Sus scrofa: one gene and its partner. The protein of the gene in region 2 purifies or fractionates together with the protein of the main gene of each other region. This does not show direct contact. Links are inferred from orthologs where the notes say so. Each region holds a gene or a part of one and is shown on either strand. Other genes may lie near its edges.

Region 1 (9,887 bases), on a different chromosome or scaffold from region 2:
GGCAGATCACTCTCATTAACAAAACTTTAAGCTCCCTACACTGATTAGTGACACAGACAAAGTGCTTCTGGTCTTGGCTTGGGGACGCTGCCATGCGGGGCACCTCTGAGAGGCTTCTGAGAAACTGGGTACTGATTTCTCGGTCTGCTTCTTCCTTGCACCTCGAACCCATCTCTCCATGTGTAGACATCCTGTCACTCTCATGTGTCCTCAGCCTGTTCTGTCTGGACACCCAGATGGGGATGTGAGGGACCCTCAGGCTCCCTTCCCATCTTTAAGATTCTAGAGCTCAACTCACGTAGCTTAAAAATGTAGTCTCTTATGGAAAATTAAAGTCTAGAATTTGGTCCTCTAGCTAAAGAGATGCTTTTGAATTATGTCAAGTAACCATAAGACAAGGATCCTCTAGGGCAAGTATTTCCAATTCAAATGTCCTCGGGACCCAGCAGGGCGATGGAAATGGGTGAAGCCAGACAGTGGCATTTGCATGTCCCGCATGTTGTCAGGAATGGTGAGATGCTATCGTACTGGCCCTGGTGGTTATCCAGTGGGAATACAAAAGTGTTTCCAAACTTTGCCGTTTTCCTTTAGGAGCCAGCAATATCGTTCTATACAGAAATCTCCCCTTTTAAAAAAAGTGCTAATTAATTGAAAACAAAGCAACAGACAGCTGTCAGAACTCCTTAGCCGACAGAACACAGGTGGAGGGCACAGCAGGGCAGCCTGCCAGTTTGCAAACTGCCCTGGGACATACCCTTGAGCAGGGGAAGGGGGAGCAAAGGCTGGCCAGAGCTAAGGGCGGGCGATGAGATGTACGAGGTCAAGTACAGGTTGATTTGATTTGGGCCTACCTTCGTTTTGGAATGAAGGGTGGACCCCAGAGGACTGACAAGCTTGAACTGGTTCTTATAATAGGGAGGCCAAGGAGCAAAGCGGGGGATGGGGAGTTATGGGCTTTGACTGCTGAGAGGCTTGGCTGCAGACTTCCTTCCCTACTTAAGAGTTGCATGATGGGTAAATGCTCCACCTGAGTTTTGCCTTCCTTATCCGTCCTTAAAAGGGAGGGTAGATCTTACCTAACAGGGTCATGAGAACCGCATGAAATTGTGCATAAAATAATGTCTGCCACCTGACAGCACCTGGTTCATTTACTTCTTCCTTTCAAAGGTTTGTTGAATGAGGAAGATACTTGATGAAAGCAGTGTTTCAAGAATGATGGCCAAATGGGAGCCTGGAGGCTGGAGTCAGAAAGGCTAGCTAGGTCTCAGGCTGTGTGACCAATTTGAGAGGCTGGGTAATTACTACCACATGGCCTTGGACCTGAGCCCATCCCCAGTGACAAGACCATAAAAGCTGACCTCTTGGCTCCTCCGTGGGTAAGGTGATGGACAGGGTGCAATACACAGCGCCAAAGAAAGCCTGTCTGCTCCAGCTTTCCTGTCTGCTTCCCACCCGGTCCTCAGCAGCCTTTGGGCAGCCAAGGAGGCAGTACCTGGCCTCCAGCCAGTGCTGATCCAGACGCAATTTTCAAGTCCAAACCTCGGTGCCAGCCTTGGGCACAGCCAGGCCCTGACCTTTGCTAAGTCCCCCCAGACATCGCTCCTCTATCTTTAGTAGCCACTGGCAGCCTTCCTGCAGGGTTCCTGGCAAAATCCTGAGTTGCTTAGCAAACTCATCTTAAGAAGACGGCTTATAGCTTTTGAAAGCTTAGGAGGTGTAAACGACACGCAGACATTTCTAAGCCAAAATGGCCAAATGCACAGTCCTTGCAACGGACTAATGAGATGATTAGGAGAAATAAAAATAAAAATAAAAAATAAAAAAGAGATCATAGTCTCGCCTTCCGGAGCTATTAGAATAGACACTGATTTCATCCACTATGTAGACACTATGTTTATCCATTAACACAATCCAACTGTCATTACAGTCAGCATCGCTGACTTCCCAAAAAGGTTTCCTAAAGTGAAAATGATTTTTAGTGTGTGTCAGAATCATCTGGAAGGCTTGTTGGCCCCCTCTCCAAGTCTCTGAATCAATAGGTCTGGGGTTGGGGCTGCACATCTAATTCCAGGGTGATGCTGCTGCTGGTCGGGTGATTATGCTCAGAGAAGCCCTGCTGTAATGAACCTGCTAGTATTTATTCAGTCCACAGCACTAGTGAGTGACACAGAATGCATGGACCTCTACAGCCCCTTGGGAGTACATAGAAGCTAAGAGTAAATGGCAGAAATAGGATAAAACAGTGCCTGAAAATGTGACCTAAGAGTCACAAACTTCTGTAAGTGGAGGAAAAAAATAAGAGAGAGGAGTTCCCATTGTGGCTCAGTGGTAATGAACCTGACTGAACCCAGTATCCATGAAGACTCAGGTTCAATCCCTGGCCTTGCTCAGTGGGTTAAGGATCTGGTGCTGCCATAAGCTGCAGTGTAGATCGCAGTTGTGGCGCAGACTCTGCGTTGCTGTGGCTGTGGTGTAGGCCGGCAGCTGCAGTTCTGATTCGGCGCCTAGCCTGGGAATTTCCATATGCTGCGGGTGTGGCCCTAAAAAGAAAAAAAAAAAAAAAAAAAAGAGTTAAACCATCATGACTGGGTGGACCTCTTGGTCTGGCAACACCAGTCGAGCATTTAGACTGGTACCTGGAGACATGCTGGGAGCAACCGTCTCCAGCAGCAATTGTAGATGCTGCTCCAGGCGAAGGAAGTGGACTACGAAAGCGAGCGTGGGGTTCTTCTGTGATCGCGACTCTCAGGCTTTGATGGTTTCTAAAGATTGGTCATATTTGTTGATGTCTTACTGAGGTCAGTTCTGTGCTTCATGAGGCTTTTGCAAATGGCAGTGGTTTTTCCAACTCCAGGGAGAAGCTTTGAGGTCCAGGGCAACTAGTTTCCTGTTTAGGAATGAATATAGCCAAGTGTTTAGGGGTGAGATATTTTTGGTGGCCTGATCTTCCTCAGGGAAATTCTTTACCTCAGAACACACAAGATTTTTCTAGGTTCTGCCTGCCTAATCCAATACCCAAGCCTGAGGACTCCGTCAAGAATGCAGATAGGCTTGGTGAGCGACCGGTTCTTATGGTTGGGGCCACAGCTGGCTGTCGTTTTACCAGCCTCTCCTTGGGTTGTTTGTCTGGTCTCACTTTCCTGGCCTCGATCTAACTACACTTACTCCAGGGTACATGGGCACTACTTTCATTTCAGTCTGGCTCAGCTGAGAGTCAAAGACAGTCCTCTGTCCCTGCAGTAGCGATGGGTCTGGTTACTTCTGTAATCTGATGATTTCATTTGAAAAAATTATCTCTAGTCTACAGTGACTCTTAGTGGATAGAATAGTGGCTAAAATGAAGAACAAAACTCCTTGGTAACTTGGCGTATTTACCACTTTGTGAAAATCAGGACGTTTCTTATCAACTGGTACAAGCTTCTCTAGTAATGGAAAGAGAACAGAGATGGACCAAAAACTATCTGCCAGAAAGCATATACAACATGGTCCCTTGGGCGTTTGGGGGCAGAAGGATGAGGCCTTCTCTGGGTTGCTCTATTCTACCCTCTGTCACTGGGTTGAGGTCAGTGTTAGAGGGGCTGGATTGACGGAAAGAGGCTCTGCTGAGACCTCTCTCCTGGAGCAGAGGCTTCCCAGGGAAGGAACTTCGCCTTGAAGGCCTTGAAGAGGGGCTACTAGACTGAGAAGCTTCTTTGCAAAGCATAGGACTGGTAAGACTGGTCATTCCATGTTTACCTATCAGTAGAGTGAAGAGGACTGGAGGGGCCCTTTTCTGGGCACTGAGGACTTGCCTGTTAAATCCCAAACCAAAAAGGACAGCAACCTTTTTCACCTGGAAGAACACCCTTTAGAAGGAAATGCTACCTGCCCTAAACATGTGGCTGGCTTGCTTTAAAATGAGGATACATGCTGTCCGAACCTTTTGCTAACCATGGAAGTGCAGCCCTAAATTATGGGTGTTGATGGGAAAGGTGAACATTTAAACATTAAGGTTAAAATTTGAGTTAACAATATCCAGTAGGAGACTCAACTAAAAACCAAAGACTCTTGGTTTGAAGTCGGTTTTGCTATCCTCTAAAGCTTGGGATGCAAAATGCTGGGGGTCCTGTGGAACTTATCAGAAATACTCTCAGGTCCTCCTAGAGCTTCGGAATCAGAATATGCACTTTGATTCTGGTGATACTTCTGCAAACTCCCAAGTTTGAGAGAAACACTGACAGAGCAGACTGCCCACGACTAAAGACCAGCATCAGCAATGGTCAGGGGAAGTGAGGAAGGTCTCGCCCACTTCCGGCCACACTCATGATGGTCATTCCAAGGTGTGTCTACCAATCCTTCAATGTCATTGTGTCATGTGCTGTACACAGGAATGGCACGTAGGCCGAGGAAAAAGGTTTCCCTGCACACCTGGAGTCTAAGAATGATTTGAAGCTTCAGAGTAAGAGTATCAAATGGTTTTATTACAAAACTTAAGCCACTTATTGATTATTCACCTTCTAAAAAACACATACATGAGAATCAAATACACACACTTAGGACTCACTAGCCTTTGCAGGATAGGAAGAAGCAAGCCTTGCACAGAGCACCTGCAGAAGTTTTTCCTTCCACCTAAGCCTGCATTTCTCCATGATTTCTAGGGTCCGCGTTTTGACACCGCTTACCGGGGAAAGGGAACTGAAGCTACAAGAGTCACGTACCAGAGGGTCGCAGCAGTCTCAAAGCTCCTTGATGCTAAAGGCTTATACACTCTAACTTGCAACTCTGAGAAACAGTATCAAATAAGCACTGTCAAATGCCCACTCCTGACTAACCGTTACTGTCATTCTTTGAAATTGCATCTTGGGACTAGATCCGTTCCTTCATTGGTAACGTTTGCTTATCCCCAGGCACAAACCCTAAAATCTGCACGCAGTCTCCAAGTTCAAGTATAAAGGTTTGTTTCAGGACAACCCCAGGTTGATGTAGTGTTTCTTAATATATCTGTAGTGTCTACTGGGTGTCATCAGCTTAGACAAACTGGCCAGATGGCAGCACACTGTGGGGGCACACGTGTCAACTTTCCTACTGCTACACTCGTTCCCTATTCTGTCTGGGCACTGCCCCACAATCCAGGTTGGATCTTGACGTCAGTGATGACCTTGGCCTGTCTTCATTCTAAAGTCGTACTCTTATGTCACTGAATCCAGGTCTTCACCACTAATTTAGTGGAGCTTCCAAAATGTGTGAGGCATATTCTAAAAAGAAAAAATAATCATATCAAAATGTTAGTTTTGTGTTATGTTTATGTGCTAAAAGGAATTGAAATTAAACTAGAAAGACTGAAATGAATGCTTTACACTCCATAATGGAACTGAGGTCCTTTAATATAGGCACAAAGAGAATTTCTCTCTTGAGTGCCACACACGAGCCTGATATTCTTGTTTTGTTCACTCACTGATACTTATCTTATTTATCAAAAATAACAGACACCTTGAAGAATCTCATAAAAAGAGCCCCAGGGTAGAATGAGGGGATAAGGCACTCCCTAATGGTTACCAACAATGGCTAGAAACCAACCACTGCTTACTTAGTAATCACTGCTTATGTTTATTAATGTCTCCCAACCCCTGCAAAAAGCATTGTGTTGTACATCTACAGCTGATTTTTATCATTTCAAATGTAATGGGGAGAAAGAAAAAGAAAAGAGTGCTCACAACAGAAGAATCCCATGATAACTGATGGTGGTAAATTGAAATCCTTACTAAATACAAGGCAACCCAGCAGTGCACAATGCAGACTCCAAGCCCATTTAGGATGCTGCTTTAGAATGCACAGCTTGATTTTTTTATATTCAAATTGTAAACCCAAGTTAACTCATGCCCAGGGGAGAGACTTATGTAAGCAATTTCAGAACAACAAGATTTTCATCTGAATTTGCCTTCCGCACACCAATCATCCCAGCTGGTTTCTAATGAAGCATCTATTCATAGCTTAAATGTTCAGCTCTGTTGACACAGAAAATCATACTACTCACTGACACAGGAAAATGCTACTAATTAGTTCTTAGTAAAAAATAACTCATGACAAAATGAAGTCCATTTGCAGTAAAAACTTTTTTGAATAGATAAGAAACATGATCCTCAGTAATGGCTTACCCCTTTTCTATCCATTTTCTATATCTACAAGCCAGAGGTGAATGCTCCTGGACAAAAGATGGATACTGGACCTTAGGAGGCATCCTGGGATGGAGCTGGAGGGTCCTGGCTTTCAGGCTCTGGAGGGGGTGCTGGCACAGCTTCTTTTTTCTGGGCTGCCAGGAACTCATGAATTGCTCGTTCTATCTGTGGCCTGAAGATGTGGTTTAGTTTGGGATCCACCACCTGGGAAATAATTCTGTCCACTCCAGCTTCCAACATCCCTGACCTTGAGGAGACAAACAGATCGTTCCATTATTTAACCCCCACTCCCACCCCAACCTTGTACAAAAGAACAGAACAAAACTATCCCAAAGACAAAGAACAAAGACTTGGTAGGAAAGAACCGATGGCACAGGGAGGCTGAAAACCTCAATGGCACCAGCAAAGCCTCCCGCCTGACTCCGCTTCCTCCAACATCTGTCCTCCCAGGAGTCAAGGCAGGAGAAGCAGCCTCCAGCAGCAACCTGCCTACTGCCTCTTAGGCTTACGCAGCACAGCTCAGTCAGGGCTAGGAACGTGTACAGCTTCACCAGCAATTCAACAATGCCTTCAGCTGGACCACTGTTACACACACTAGGCCACTTGGAAGCAAACAAGTACACAGACTAGAAACAGACTGGTTCTCAGCTCCTAAAGGGCTAAAATACAACCCCAATCCTTTCTGAAGAGCATATATTAGTCAAAATGCCTATATTCCAATACCAAGGGTGGGTGGTGAGGAAGATTATGGTTACAGGAAACAAATCACATTTGAAGAGTTTGGAAAAAATAGTCCAAATTCATTTGTCTAGTTAATTGTTTAGTTAACTGACCTGTTAATTGCAGGTCAAACTAAACTGTTCTTTTTAAAGGCTTACAATATTCAAATACTGTTACAAACGTGGTAGACAGGTTTTACCTACTTTCCTTCAGACTTGAGTTCTTAGGCCATTCAAGCGTTTGCTGAGGTAAAAGTAGGTCCTGCAGTAATGGGGCAAATGGTGTGTCAGGGTACAGCCAGGGAAATAACTTAAGAGAAACGAGAAGCAGGCTCTGGACTGGTTAGGTTGAGTGGTGAATCAAATGCTCCCTAGATCCAGCGCTAACTGACAGCTTAGCAAGAGGAGGCCTACATGTACACAGGCCGCCATGAGAGTAGAGGGGCACTTCCAGGCAGAGCCCAGTAGACAGCGTGTGCCCTTAGAGATGAGCGCCGTGGCACCCAGTGAGGTCAGCAGCAGGACATGGGTCAGTGGGGAAGCAGAGCCACCCCTCCTTAGTCACAAGTCAATGGCTTCCTGCCTCCACTACCCTGCTGCCAGGGTTTGAGTCACAGGGGTCTTTTCTGGGGGAGAAAAGCCTGATCAAGGAAAACAAAGTACCAAGAGTATAGCTTCCTCTTCTGGAGATTTTAAGAGTGTTTGGAGGAAACAATCTTGTTAGGAGTCTAAAACAGAAGAGGAAATGAACAAATATCATGTAGCTAAGTTTCCTCTGCTCTGTTACTTAAGCTTAAGAAGAAATATTTTTTTGTGTTAAGGATTAGCAACAAATAAGGACCAATGCCAGCCATGAAATAGTTGCTCAGTAAGTGGCAGCTACTGTCCCCTTCTCTAGTCTGCTCCCTAGAGAAACAGAAAGGCACTGAATAATGAATTCAGAATGACAAGGTACTGGGCTTCCTGCGGTAGCTTGCTTGTTTCCTAGCCCCAAGAGCATTTACAAATTTTAGTTTAAAAAGATTCAGATTTCACCAACCATCATGAAAGTGTCAGATTGCTAATAAACATCTTTTTCTATTTTTAAAACCTTTTTATTTTGAAATTATATAGTCATAGACAGTTGCAAAGAAATACACAGGGAGGTCCATGTACTCTTTACCCAGCCACCTCTAATGTTTGCATTCTGTACAACTGCAGTACAGTATCAAAACCGGGACATAGGAAAAAGGAAAAATTCTATTAACTCTGTGTGCTGATGAATGTTAACTAGACTCACTGTGGTGATCATTTCAAAATACATACAAATATCAAATTGGTATGTTTCAAACTAATCATACCTGAAATCAATATGCTGTATGTCAATTATACTTCCCAAAAAAGGGGGAAAAACCAGCACAGGTACAATCCTGACCTCATTTACGTCTCAGTGACAGCTGCACTCGTGTGCCTCTGTGTGGGGAGCTCTGTGCAACTTGAACATGAGTAGCCTCAGGTAACCACCACGATTAAGGTACTCACCTGTCCCACACCCGCTTCACGCTACCTCTTTCTAGGCACACTCATACCCGCCCCCCTCCCAGCCCCAAGCCCCGGGAATCACTAATCTACTCCATCTCTATAATTACAGTGGTTCACAAATGTTATATAAATGAAATCATGCCCCATGTTATCTTTTTGATATTGGCTATTTCTTTTTTCCCCACTCAACACAGTTCCTTGATAGTTCTGTTTTAAAGAAGGCCTCACAAGCTTTTAGATATTTCAGGAATTAGTAGATCAAGAAAGTCTGCACATAAGCATATTAAGAGCAAAAAAGGATTCTGAATAGATTAGAAAAATCTTATCTTAGGACATCAGCTACCTCCACTTCTGTGCCCCGTGACAGTAGCACCTCATTAACTAAGGTTCAGTTTGCTTCTGTGAAGGCCATACTTTAGTAAGACTCCATGCCTTCCTGGAAGCTGCCAGTACACTTTACAGGGGCCAGATGGATTCAGAGAACTTGTATAATGTACGCTGACTTGTGAGAATAAAGACCCACCTACGCTTGCCCAAGACCCAAACATTGATATGTTGGTATGAACTCCAGTGTATGTTCAGACTCTACCGAAAATGTCAAAGAGCATGAAATGTGTCCTCATGTGGAACATCCTTCCCAGTAGAGATGCACATGGGAGGCCTATGTAGGAAGAAAGAATTTCAATTGAGTTTTTGGCTTACTTCAGTCTTAATTTTAATAAAGGAAGGGTCTGCTGCAACTTGTGTGTCGTATACCTTGACCAGCAGTGACTTGCCTCGGCCTTCCTGTGTGCCATGCCTGTGATGACTGCCTTTCGCTCTCAATTCTGCTTACTTACTGAACCACACTCTGCCGCAGACCATTTCGCAACTGGTTTTTGTTCATCGTAGGATTCCATTCCTGCTTGTCCAGGTGTGTTGACACAAAATTATCCACTTTCTGCCTCAGGTTTTGGTAAGCTGGCTAAAATAGTAAAAAGAAGGGGCAAGGTCAGGACTTACATGAACCAAAGTTTTGGAAATTAGTCATTCAGAACATTGCTTTTCATAGCAACACAGAATTTCAAGTCCTTAAAAACAATTCCACTGTGTCCATGATCACCGTGCAGCGTGGCAGAGCATGAAGTAACGACCATCATGTGTGCCTACTTTATGGTGGGTGGGCACGATTTTTTGACCCTACTTACTTTTCAAAACACCTTCCAAATTGAAGGAAATGGGCTCTAGCCCAGCTCTGCTGCTTACGAGCTCTCAGGACTTAACAGTCAGCCAACCTCTGAGTCTCAGGTATTTCCATCTGTAAAACAAGTATTAACTGCCCTGCTTAACCAGGCAGGTCCGCAGCATAAAATGAAGGGCCACCCAGACCGCAGCATGACTCCCGAATGCAGACCAAAGTCAAAGCCTATGGACAGTGGGAAAGGCTGAAAGGAAGCAAAAGTCAAGTCCCCAAAGGAGCCTGAGAGGTACTTAACTGGTCTCAAATGTTCAA
Region 2 (10,903 bases):
CACAACCAGCATCAGAACCTACCACACGCACGCGCTCCAGGTCCACCTCGGCCCGCCGCAGCTTCTCCCAGCAGTAGTGGCGGTTGCACTGGCGCTTGGGCAGGCGGCAGAAGTCACCTGTGAGCTCAAAGACGTCCCGAACCAGGGGACAACCACATACCTCATCAGCTGGCACCTGCGGGGAGATGGGGGTGGGGAGGTGGGAAGGAGGCAGGAGTGGGGAGTGGTCAGGGAGGAGGAAGAGGGAGTGGTGAGTTCGGGGGAAGGTGGGAAGGAATGCAAAGGGGAGGACAAGGATGAAGAGGCAGGATAAAGGGAGGAATAGGAGGTGATGCAACAGGCAGAGGAGAGGAATGAGGGTGAAGAGGACAGGGAGCTGTGAGTGGGGAGGCAGGCTACAGGGAAGGAAGGAGGGCGAGGAAGGGGTGACTATGGGGCAGGGAGGGAGGGAGGAAGAAGCAGATGGGAGAGTTGAGAGAAACCCTTACTTTGGGGTCCCGTGAGTGCTCAGGGCACAGCACTTGGAGCCGCTTACAGTACGTCTTGCTTTGAGGATTATAGACGTCACAGAAGAGGCGGGTGGCCCTGGTGGTGTGGAGCAGAGAAGGGAATTGTGGGAGCAGAGGGGGCACAACCTCCTTGCCCAAGCCCCACAACGTTCCACTTCTGACCCCAGCCCTAACACCCCCTGCTCCAAGCCCCACCCTCCAGCAGCGCCCACACTTACCCCTCGATGCGTGTGGGGTACATGGACCCAAAGGACGTCTGGCTCTCATACTGGAGGGGTGAGCACAAACGGAGGGAACTGTGGATGTATGCCGTGTGCCCCTGCGAGACGGCACATCTGTCCCCAGGGACCCAATGCTGTCCCCACACCGTCCGCCCCCTCAGGCCGACACCCTGACCTTGGCATAGCAGCGCTCCATGTGGCGCAAGGCAACTCGTGGGTTGATGGGGTGCCCGCAAGAGACGCAGAAGATCTGCAGGTCTGTGTCATCACTGTCACCCTCATTGCTCTGCACCGGGGAGAAGGGACGGTGAGGCCAGGCAGGACCTGGTACCAGGCCCCGAGCTGCTGTGCCCGTGCTTGCTTACCTCCTCATCTTCACGCACAGCCTGCTGCTTGGCACGCAGGATAATGGCCTCAAGCTCATGGAATCGGCGCTCCATCTCCTGAAGGCGGGTGCGGGCGCTCTGCTGCTCCCGGCGAATGCGCTCAAGCAGCTTCTTGCCATGCTCCTCAGCTATGCAGGGGCTCTGCTGCCACTGCTGGATGCGCTGGGGGAGGATCTCATAGATGCGGCTGCAGGGAGGCAGAGCATCGGTGCAGGCAGGGGAGAAGGCCAGCGACAAGGTGAGGAAGTGGACACCCAATGGGTGGGTGATGCAATGGGGAAGGGACAAGTAAATGGGTGACTGAATGGGAGATAGCTGGGTGGATGAGCAAATGGATGGATGGGTAAGTCACTGGATGGACAGGTGGGTGCCTGGTTGACTGAATGGTGGCAGGTGGCCAGGTGAGGTGACTGACTGGTCGGCATAAAGGGGGCTCTGGTCATGCCCTACTCTGTGCTCGCTGACCCCCTAAGCCCTCCAGGAATGACTCACTTGGCTGCCAGCTTCATGCCACAGTCGTCTGAGCAATACTTGGAGCCGGGCTGGGCAGGGCGCACACAGCCAGGCCCCAGGCACTGCGGTAGCGATGCTGGGTCCTTGGCATCAGCGCGCTCAGGGTGTTTCCATTTGTCCTTGTGCTTCTGCTTCTGCCGATGCCGCTTGTATCTTTCTTCTTTCTGTGGAGAAGACTGGTCGGGTCAGGGCAGAGCTGAAGTCAACCCCAGGTCCTGTCTCCCCCTACACCCCCACCCACCCCGCTTCCTGGTTCTCGGCCTCCCTCCCCACCCCAATTCCATTGCCTCCATCACCTTCTTGTCAGACTTTTTCTCCCGACGCTTCACATGCTTCACTTTCACGGCCCTCTTCCGAAGCGCGGGGTCCAGGAATGGGGACTCCTCCGTGTCACTCATCCAGGGCTGCAAGTGAGGCAGGCACTGATTCGCCTGCTCCACTCCTAACTTCCCCACCACCCACTCGGTCCCCAAATCAGCTTTCCATACCCTCTGCCTCCTCTCTCCTCATTATGGACATTCTCTGCTTCTGTAACCTCTACCCTTCCACCATGGGACGCTCTGCCTGCTCACCAGGCCATGGTCATCAAAGGCCCCTGCACAGAAGTCCTGGTACAGGTCAGGGTCCAGTGGGAGATCCTCGTCCGAGAGCGGCTCGGGCGTAGCCGTAGCCTCTGGTGGCTCCTTGACTGCCGAAGATGCCACTGCCCCCTCGTCCTCACGGATGCGCCCCAGCTTCTGCGATGGCTGTGGCTGCTGCTGGGTGGGCAGTGGCCGGCGAGGCCTTGGCAGGGACTCTGAGGGCGTCACTGGCGAGAGCTGCGGGGCAGAATCTCAGGACTGGCCCTGACCGCCCTGCCCGCATGCCCCGCCCGCCCTGGGGGGCTGGACTCACCGAGGAAGGGAAGTACTTGTACGATTCCTGTGCCGGCAGGAGGAAGGCCCAGGTCAGCCCCAGGTGGATGGAGGGTGGCCCTGCCCTTACCCTTTCCACAAGTGCTTGACCCCACCAACTCCCTAAACACACCTGCCCCCCCATCACTAGGACATGCTCAGCCCTGCCCCACCTGCCTTGACATGCTTGACCACCTGGAAACATCTGGTCCTACCCTGCCCAGCTGAGGTTGGGGGCTCCCCTGCTAGCCCAGCACACCTGGTTGCACCCCATTCATCAGGACAGGCCGGGCTCCTCCCCAGCTATCTGTATACAATTATGCCCCACCCCACCCAGCCCACCCGCCCTAGCCTTAATCATCTCTTTCTGAAGACAATGGCCCCCCCAGACCCTGCCCAGCCCTGCCCATGCTCACCCGGGCCCGAAGCTGGCACTGACGCAGCCGGCACTTCTGCCGGATCTTGTTGGGACCCCCGAACTTTTTCATGTCTCGGCAGAAGTCACAGTGGCCACAGTCCTCAGTGCGCCGGCAGGCCTCACACTCGCCACACATGCGGGCTGACCGTTTGATCTGCTGTTGTTGCTGCTGCTGCTGCTGCTGCTGGTGATGCTAGGACGAGGTGCCCAGAACAGAAATTAGGAACCAGAGCAGGGCCTGAGATAGGATCCCCTCACCTATTCCAGACATCAAAGCCACTCACCTGGCTGGGTGGGGCCACCAGGGGCTGTGGAGAGGATTTGTGGGGCGAGGCGGAGCCCCGGGCAAGCATGGCCCCAACCCCTGTCCCCGTCCCTGCCCGGCGCTGCAGGTCCGCTTCCGGGACAGGCCTCTTGCGCCCTCCACCCTCGTCCCGGGGCTCACTGCCATCTCGCTCGTTACTGTCCCGCTCCCGTGACTTCTTGTGCCGATAGCGGATCTCCAGCTTGGGATCCTTCTCTGTGGGACAGAGGATACAGCCAGCATGTGTTGGCACTGGGAGATATGGATGGTCCCAGAAGTCTTTCTTCCCCTTCTCTCCTCTTCTGTCCCACCCACCTGCTCTGTCTTCATACCCCCAGAAGAGCTGCCCCTGCCAGTGGGACTTTCTATCACAGCTCACAATGAAGCCTCCGTTCCAGCTCAGCACAACCAATAATCACTCTGTCCCCAGACACATATCACCGCTCCCCAGGACTCACCTTCCCATAAAGGCTCCTCCTCCTCCCTCGAAGCCCCACTTGCCTGCCCTGTCCATTCCACTCCCTCACCTCGGCACTCGCGACAATACCACTCCCGGATGGCCTTGGCCATCTTCTCAGTGATCCGGATGCAGTCCCCATGAAACCACTCATTGCAGTTGTCACACCCGCTGCAGAAAACAGGGTGAGTGATGGAGATGTGAGGGGTCCTGCCCCATCGGCCTCCCCGCAACCTGGCCAGGTGTCAATCCTGCCCACCTCTCCCCCAGCTCACATCATGAAGCAGTTGATGTCTGGTTTGCGGCAGATGCAGTAGATGGGCGCATTCTCCCCATTCTCTGACTTGCTGTCCTCCCCAGCATCTGGAGGTTCTGGGTCTGAAGCATCCCCCTCCTGTGGGATATCCCCACCATGGCTTCTTAGAGAACCCCCATCATGGCACCTCATCCCTCCAGTACAGTTCCATCAAGGTTCACCACAGACCCCAACACTCTGCCAATAGTCTCATCATGGCTCCTCATCAACCTCTCCACCATAGTCCCCACAGATCACCCCCATGACTCACTTCTGACACCCACTACTCTGCCCCAGACTTCCAATCACTCATCCCACTGATAGCCCATTACTCCACTCTCCCACTCTTGACGGCTAGTTACAAACAACCTACCACTCACCATATTTTGCCCTCCGACATGGCTCCCCACAAATCCCCACCACAGGGTCTCACAGACACCATATGATTTATTCCTCAGCCTTCCCACCTGGGTTCCCCTCAGATGCCCGGTTATTAACCTCGGAGACAGCCCCGCCCCCTGGGTCCCTCCACACGGACTCACACTGCTCACTCCAGACTGCCCAAGACAACTCTTCGCAAGCTTATCATCACTCCGCACAAAGAATCCCCCATCCGGACCCCCAAGGAACTACCACCACGGATCCCCCCTAAACTTCCATTACGGACCCTCATCACAGAACTCCCATGTGGCTTACGCATAAATAAAAAATCTGACCATCAGCCCCCCATCATTCTACCCACAGACTCCTGTTAAGGCTTACCACGGGCCCCCTCCATTCTGCCCAGAGACTCTTCTTACGGTTCACCAAAGACCCCCTATGCGTTTGCCCATGGAACCCGCCGCTTCCAACCCCACTGACCTCGACCGCCGACCCATCCTGGGACCTCGCACTCACCATTTCTCCGCTCCTGGCGAAGCCCCTCACAAACCCCGCCAGAGACCCGCGAACCTACACAGACCGCTCGGCGGCGTCCGCGGCCGTTGCAAAGGCGCCCACAAGCACTTCCGCTTTTAGACGCGCCTCCCAAGCAAGGTACTCCTATTGCGCAGGCCCAGTGCGTCCGCTCCGCGACAAACAAGCAAGTAGCACGCCTAAAAGCCCGGACTGTCTCTCAGGCGCCGCCATCTTGACTACTGAGACCGTACGGTGGCCGCGTCCATAAGTTCGCAAGCAACATGGCCACGCCTATATTTCGCTCTACCGAGGGCGCCGCCACCTTGTCTGCGGGTCCTGTCCGTACAGGACTGTTTGTACGGCCCAGACGTTTAGGCAATATGGTCGCGCCTACTGAGCGATTTCCAAGCAGACGCCGTCATCTTGAAATCCGATTCCGTAAGGTGGCAGAGTCCCTCCGTTCATAGGCAACACATGGCAGCGTCCTAAACGGCTTCTGAGAGGGCGCCGCCATCTTGGCGGTCGATTACGATGCCAGCAGCTGGTACTGTCTAGATGTTCGCAGGCGAAGGGGCAGCTTTGGCAACGTTACCCGATTGAGACGCTCTTATTCAGTCATTTTTCCCTTCCACATGTATTTTAATAATGGGCTCCAGGCATGCTGTGCTTTGCTTTGGGAAGGAAATCAGTCCTGTTGTTACGCCTCCCATATCACCTCTGATGGAAGAAAATTTCGCATATTGGGGACTAATGAAGCCAGCCGGGCTTATACCTGATTTGTCCTGAACTTTATGTGAACTAGAACAGTCAAACATACCTTGTATTTTGCTTTAACCATTATATAAAGAATGTCCACTTTTACAGTAGGGAGAAATGCCTCCCTTCCTATGACACCAATGCTAGATCTTCTTGGAGATTAAAGTACCTGTTCCAGATGTCAAGGTAACGCTCGCTGTCTGTCTATATGCTAATTTGTAACTAGGGTCTGTTGAAACCTTGAAGAAAGGTACCCCTGTCGTGTTTGATGTATTCTCTTTGTTCTGACAGGGTATGAAACTGTGCTGAAAACCATGCTTCTCTGGAGCCCTTACTTCCTTGGTGGAGGCTGCACTCCTGCCCCAGTCCGCAGCTTGGCTCAAATAAAACTCTCTTCAGCGTTCCCTGCTGGCTCAGAGGGTTAAGGATCTGGTGTTGTCACAGCAGCTGCCCTGAGTCGCTGTAGCGGCACAGATTCACTCCCTGGCCAGGGAACTTCCACGTGCCACAATCATAACAACAGCTCTTCTGTTCCTTAGTATAGTTTATTGATTATCTCTGTTGACTCTTCCCACCACTCTTTCCAGCTGTCACTCCTCCTATCAGATGTTAGCCAGGCTTAGCAAGATTAAGCCTCTGGGCCTCTGCAGCAGCCCTCATCCCTCAGAATTAGTCCAGAGAAACCACAGACTGGCAGTAAATGATGATGACCTGACCATGTGTGGTGAGAATGGATGGACCAAAAATTTTAAAGGCTTCATCAAGTCTTCCCCTGACCCTGTGTGACCAGACACAATGAGTTTGTCACTTGGGGTGCTTCACTGATGAACACACCAAGAACTTTCAGTTAAACCGGAAGCATTTATTTCTTATTACTTATGACAAGTAAGGAGACAGGAGATAGCCCTCAAAGCTCTGTCTCCATGGGGGATTTTTAAGCCTAGGAGTAGGCATGATCCTTGTAATAGGCAGAGGTTGCTCTAGGTTGCCCAAAGCTTCAAGCAAGTCTGTTCTTGATTACTTGTTCTCACTGTAGTATCTTGTTTACTAGAATGCATCCTAGCCTTCTTGGAACATCTGGTGTCTGGAACTTTCTGAAACTTAATGGTTAGTTTCTGCAAACCAAACACACTTGGGTTTAACTCTATCCTTTCCCTACTGCTGCATAGCTAACACTGGTGACCACCAGAGTGTAGATTTGCCCAATTCCTGGTGATGTCCACTTCAGTTCTCTTGTTTCATATATGATACAGTGTTCTCTCCTATAAAGTTAATTTTTAATTTTTTAAAAAATGGAAGTGTGTATAATAAAAAAAATCTGCAGATCAGAGAGCTAGGCATCTCCTCAGGGTAATGATGTAATGATCTAACCTGGGCAACCATGGAAATCAAGTGAGATTAAAAAAATGTCAGTACACCCTCCCCTTACCCCACCACTGGATGGGAAAGTTGTGGTCATTGTAAATGGCCACATGTTCACATTCAAAGTCAAAAGTGACTTTGTTGGTTTTGGGTTGAGGAGAGAGAGGTCTGGGAAAAATTAGATTTTTTTTAAGCTTGGCTGAGAATTTTTTTTCTGGATTTCTTGACTCTGGACATAGTAACTTACAGCAACTTGTTTGGTACTCATTTAGATCTGATTTTTTTTCACCTTTCCTAAGAGTTTTTACTTGTGGTCCCCTCAACACAGTCGCAGACACAAAGACACAGGGGCTACAACATGGGTATCTGTGACCCTCTCCTCCTCCCAAAACGGGTTTTTAACCCACTAAACAGAGACTTTCACATCCAGCATAAGACTTGCCTTATTTTTATGTATTAACATTGAATTAATCTTAATTGATTGTAACTTAATTAATATCATTTAATTTTTAATTTAGTTTTTCATTTAATGTATTAACATTTGTATAATTGAATATGTGTTGGAAGGTACTTAGATAAATTTATTTATTTATTTGGCCACAGACATGGCATGTGGAAGTTCCCAGGTCAGGGATTAAACACACGCCGCTGCAGTGACAACACCAATCCTTAACCCACTACACCATAAGAAAACTCTCAAGATAAATTTACTTTAACATCAATTAATGAATATTATATAATTTAATTTTAACTTAATTACAATTTGTTGTATGAAAGTAAGCTTAAGGGAATATTGTTAGAACAGCGGGGGGAAAAAGGAGGCAATGAGATTGCAAGCAGGGTTTATTGACCAACAGAGCAGTCGGGAGCTCTGACTAGCAAGACTCAGAGAGTGCTGGGTTTTTTATAGACAAGGGTTGTTTTGTTGAGCCATGTAGTCTTTGGCCTTGGGGCTATCTTTGTCTTTGGGAGTTCATTTGTTACATGGGCCTGTTCAATAAGAAGGAGGCTGCAAGTCTGGATTTGGCTGGGTTTTGCTGATTTTTTTGTTCTTTTAGGCCTTGTTTCATTTCCCACATAAGATTCCTCCCTGTTCTTAATAGGAAAATGGGTGATGTTCTTTTCTTCTGTAGCTTCTTCCTGTTGTCACTTAGGGGGTGGAGGAGATGCAAGGAATTTGGTGGTACCTGTAGGTCCTTAAGGCCAGCATGGAGTTGACCCATTTGTCTGTGATCGATTCAATGGTTTTCTGTAAAAAAGAAAATATATGAAACAGAGGTGTCCACCTATTAGGAGAAGAAAAATAAAGACGAGATTTGTAGGAAAAGGATCTAGCCAGGAGAGTAGGGAGGAGGTAGAAGGCCAGAAATTTTGAGTTCCTTGTTGCTGGAACCAAATTGCTTGTTTTCTTAAACGTTTTATGTCTTCTCTGACTAGTCCTGACATATTTTTATAAAAGCAGCAACTTTCTTTTAAGGCTTCACAAATCCCACCTTCTTTTTGTCCAGGCCTTGGTGTTTTTGGTTTTTGTTTTTTGGGTTTTTTTTGAGCCTTGTTTTAGAGTGCGTTTGAAGTCAGTAGTTCTCTCTATAAGCCAGTTCAATGTAGAGGCCCTTAAGTGAGAAATGTGAATTTAAGAGTTAATTTTTTTTTTCTTTCTTTGTGTATATGGCACTAAGAATTCCTGGTAAGAAACCTTTTATCTAGGCTGGAGACAGACCTTTATTTTATTTTTTATTTTTAAATTTTTTTTTGCCTTTTTGCCTTCTTGCCTTTTCTAGACCCACTCCCGCGGCATGTGGAGATTCCCAGGCTAGGGGTCTAATCAGAGCTGTAGCCACCGGCCTACGCCAGAGCCACAGCAACGCAGGATCCAAGCTGCGTCTGCAACCTGCACCACAGCTCACGGCAATGCCGGATCCTTAACCCACTGAGCAAGGCCAGGGATCAAACCCGAAACCTCATGGTTCCTAGTCAGATTCGTTAACCACTGCGCCACGATGGGAACTCCACAATAAGGTATTATACTTAATGTTGATAACTCTAAAAACATGTCTGTATTAATTAGATCAACAAACTAGCTTTAACACAATATATTAATTTAATACTGAGTATTTCCCAGTTCGCATGAACCTAAAATTAATTCTGGCCAGTTAGTTCCCTTTTATATTTTGAGAATTTACATATGTGCTTAATTTAGTAGGACTCATTTATATTTAAAGGGGGATAAAAGAGTTTGTTATTTTGAGAAGAGCCACCACTTTTTGGGGTGAGAATTGGGACTCTGGGGGCAGGGAAGGGGAGGATAAATAGAGGGAGGATTAACAGAGGGGGACAAAGAAGGTGTAGGGGCTACAGGGGCAGGTGGATAAGGGGTAAGGGGAGCTGTGGGAGCAGGGGGAAGGGAGGGAGCTTCCTGATAAGAGTTGATCAGGGGAGCTAAGGTATGTCTATAGGGTCAGAGTCTGAGGTAGAAGACAGATGAGGGGGTGTTTCTGTCTTAGTTTGTGGGGAGGGTGAGATGAGAGGAGGAGGTTGTTTGTTTAGTAAAGAACCTGGCATGAGCTGCAAGTGGAACAAAAAGAGGGTCAGGATCTTAGATAAATAAAGGATTGAAGATATAGAACCTCCAACCATTTCCCATTTTGTTGGAGAAAATTTTCAAGATTGCATTAAATTTGGAAATCAAATGTACCAGGCCATTGGCTTCTGTTATCTAGTTTATATTGATGCCAGGCCACATTGCAGAAAAATATGAGGTGCTTGGGTTTAACGTCTGGGCAAAGTCCCAGCATTGAAAGGTGGTGGAGAAGATGCCTGAGAAGTGTATCTTGTGGGGGCTGAGAGGAGTTGGTGCCCATAGCATTAATTTGGGAGTACAGGTTTTGGAGTAAGGGGTTAAAAGCCCACCTAGGCCCTCTGAGAAGCATTCTCCTGAGAGGGCTTAGGATCTGAAGGAGAAAAACCACCAAGACATTCAGAGGGGTGTTGCCCTGTGAAGTCCAGGGTCTGAACGTGAATGAGGATTGCCCCTGATCAGGAAAAGTCTTTCCAGAGGAGGGGGAGCATGCAAATGGCCCCTGAGGCCAGATGAGACCCAGATGACTAGGTGCCTAGATTTGTTGGTGAGGAGAGGAAAAATGGGAAATGAGATCAGACCGGGTATGCGAATGAGAGAGAGAGAAGAGAGAGAGAGAGAGAGAGAACCCCAATCCTCTACTCGCCTTCCACGCATTGTGAGTTGGAGGCTGGTGTGGGGCATGGTATGGCAAGAATCGTCAGAGGGTGCTTGCAATTTCAGAGCTCAGTCAGCCAAAAGCAAGGAAAAATGAGTTCTGGAAGACTGGGTTAGGGCGAGAGAGTATTTTCATTTCATCCATCTCCAGCCATCTCCCTTGCAGGAAATCCCAGGATAGGTGCTTCTTACAGGTCGATATAAACTCCCAACTAGGTCTTTTGGCTCAGCTGGGCCAAAAGTCATCAAGGGATAGTAACAGAACTGTGGATTGGGGCTCCACATTCCTTTTGGATCTGGGACATATCTCATTTACACACAGGCACTCTTAGGATGGGGAGGGAGAAGAGGTTGCAGGGGGTGGGTCAGAGAGGCTTCCACCCTTTCAGGCTGAAACTACTTGCCCTAGCACTTAGAGGGGCCTTCAGAATACCCCAGAGAGTAGCCCTAGCTGGCGTCTTCAATTGTCCCTTCAAGCCTGGAGTGTTTGTGGAGGCCTAGGGATTAAAAAGGGCCAGCACCAAGTATGTTAGAACGGTGGGGAAGAAGGAGGCAGGGGGTGCAGCAATGAGATTGCGAGCAGGCTTTATTGACCAACTGAGCAGTAGGGAGCTCTGAGCAAGCAAGACTCAGGCTCCCCCCACAGGGGAGTGCTTG

The links.
Region 1: the proteins of CXXC1 (region 2) and BOD1 purify together in Homo sapiens (affinity purification with mass spectrometry; 4 studies listed by BioGRID and IntAct, counting the BioPlex papers as one, with this or other methods). This does not show direct contact. The link is inferred for Sus scrofa from reciprocal best matches to the Homo sapiens genes CXXC1 and BOD1.

The regions. Positions count from the first base shown.
Region 1 is NC_010458.4:50,737,970-50,747,856, reverse strand, and holds the end of BOD1 (biorientation of chromosomes in cell division protein 1), read right to left. Parts: intron 9,360-9,887; coding exon 9,235-9,359; intron 6,403-9,234; coding exon 6,207-6,402; 3' UTR 6,206-6,206; exon of another isoform or gene 6,135-6,205; intron 5,235-6,134; 3' UTR 4,440-5,234; downstream 1-4,439. UniProt on the Homo sapiens protein: Required for proper chromosome biorientation through the detection or correction of syntelic attachments in mitotic spindles.
Region 2 is NC_010443.5:99,934,997-99,945,899, forward strand, and holds the start of CXXC1 (CXXC-type zinc finger protein 1), read right to left. Parts: upstream 5,130-10,903; 5' UTR 4,897-5,129; coding exon 4,894-4,896; intron 4,096-4,893; coding exon 3,977-4,095; intron 3,873-3,976; coding exon 3,772-3,872; intron 3,461-3,771; coding exon 3,225-3,460; intron 3,134-3,224; coding exon 2,939-3,133; intron 2,551-2,938; coding exon 2,524-2,550; intron 2,448-2,523; coding exon 2,202-2,447; intron 2,034-2,201; coding exon 1,926-2,033; intron 1,794-1,925; coding exon 1,609-1,793; intron 1,304-1,608; coding exon 1,096-1,303; intron 1,017-1,095; coding exon 906-1,016; intron 778-905; coding exon 728-777; intron 586-727; coding exon 489-585; intron 176-488; coding exon 23-175; intron 1-22. UniProt on the Homo sapiens protein: Transcriptional activator that exhibits a unique DNA binding specificity for CpG unmethylated motifs with a preference for CpGG.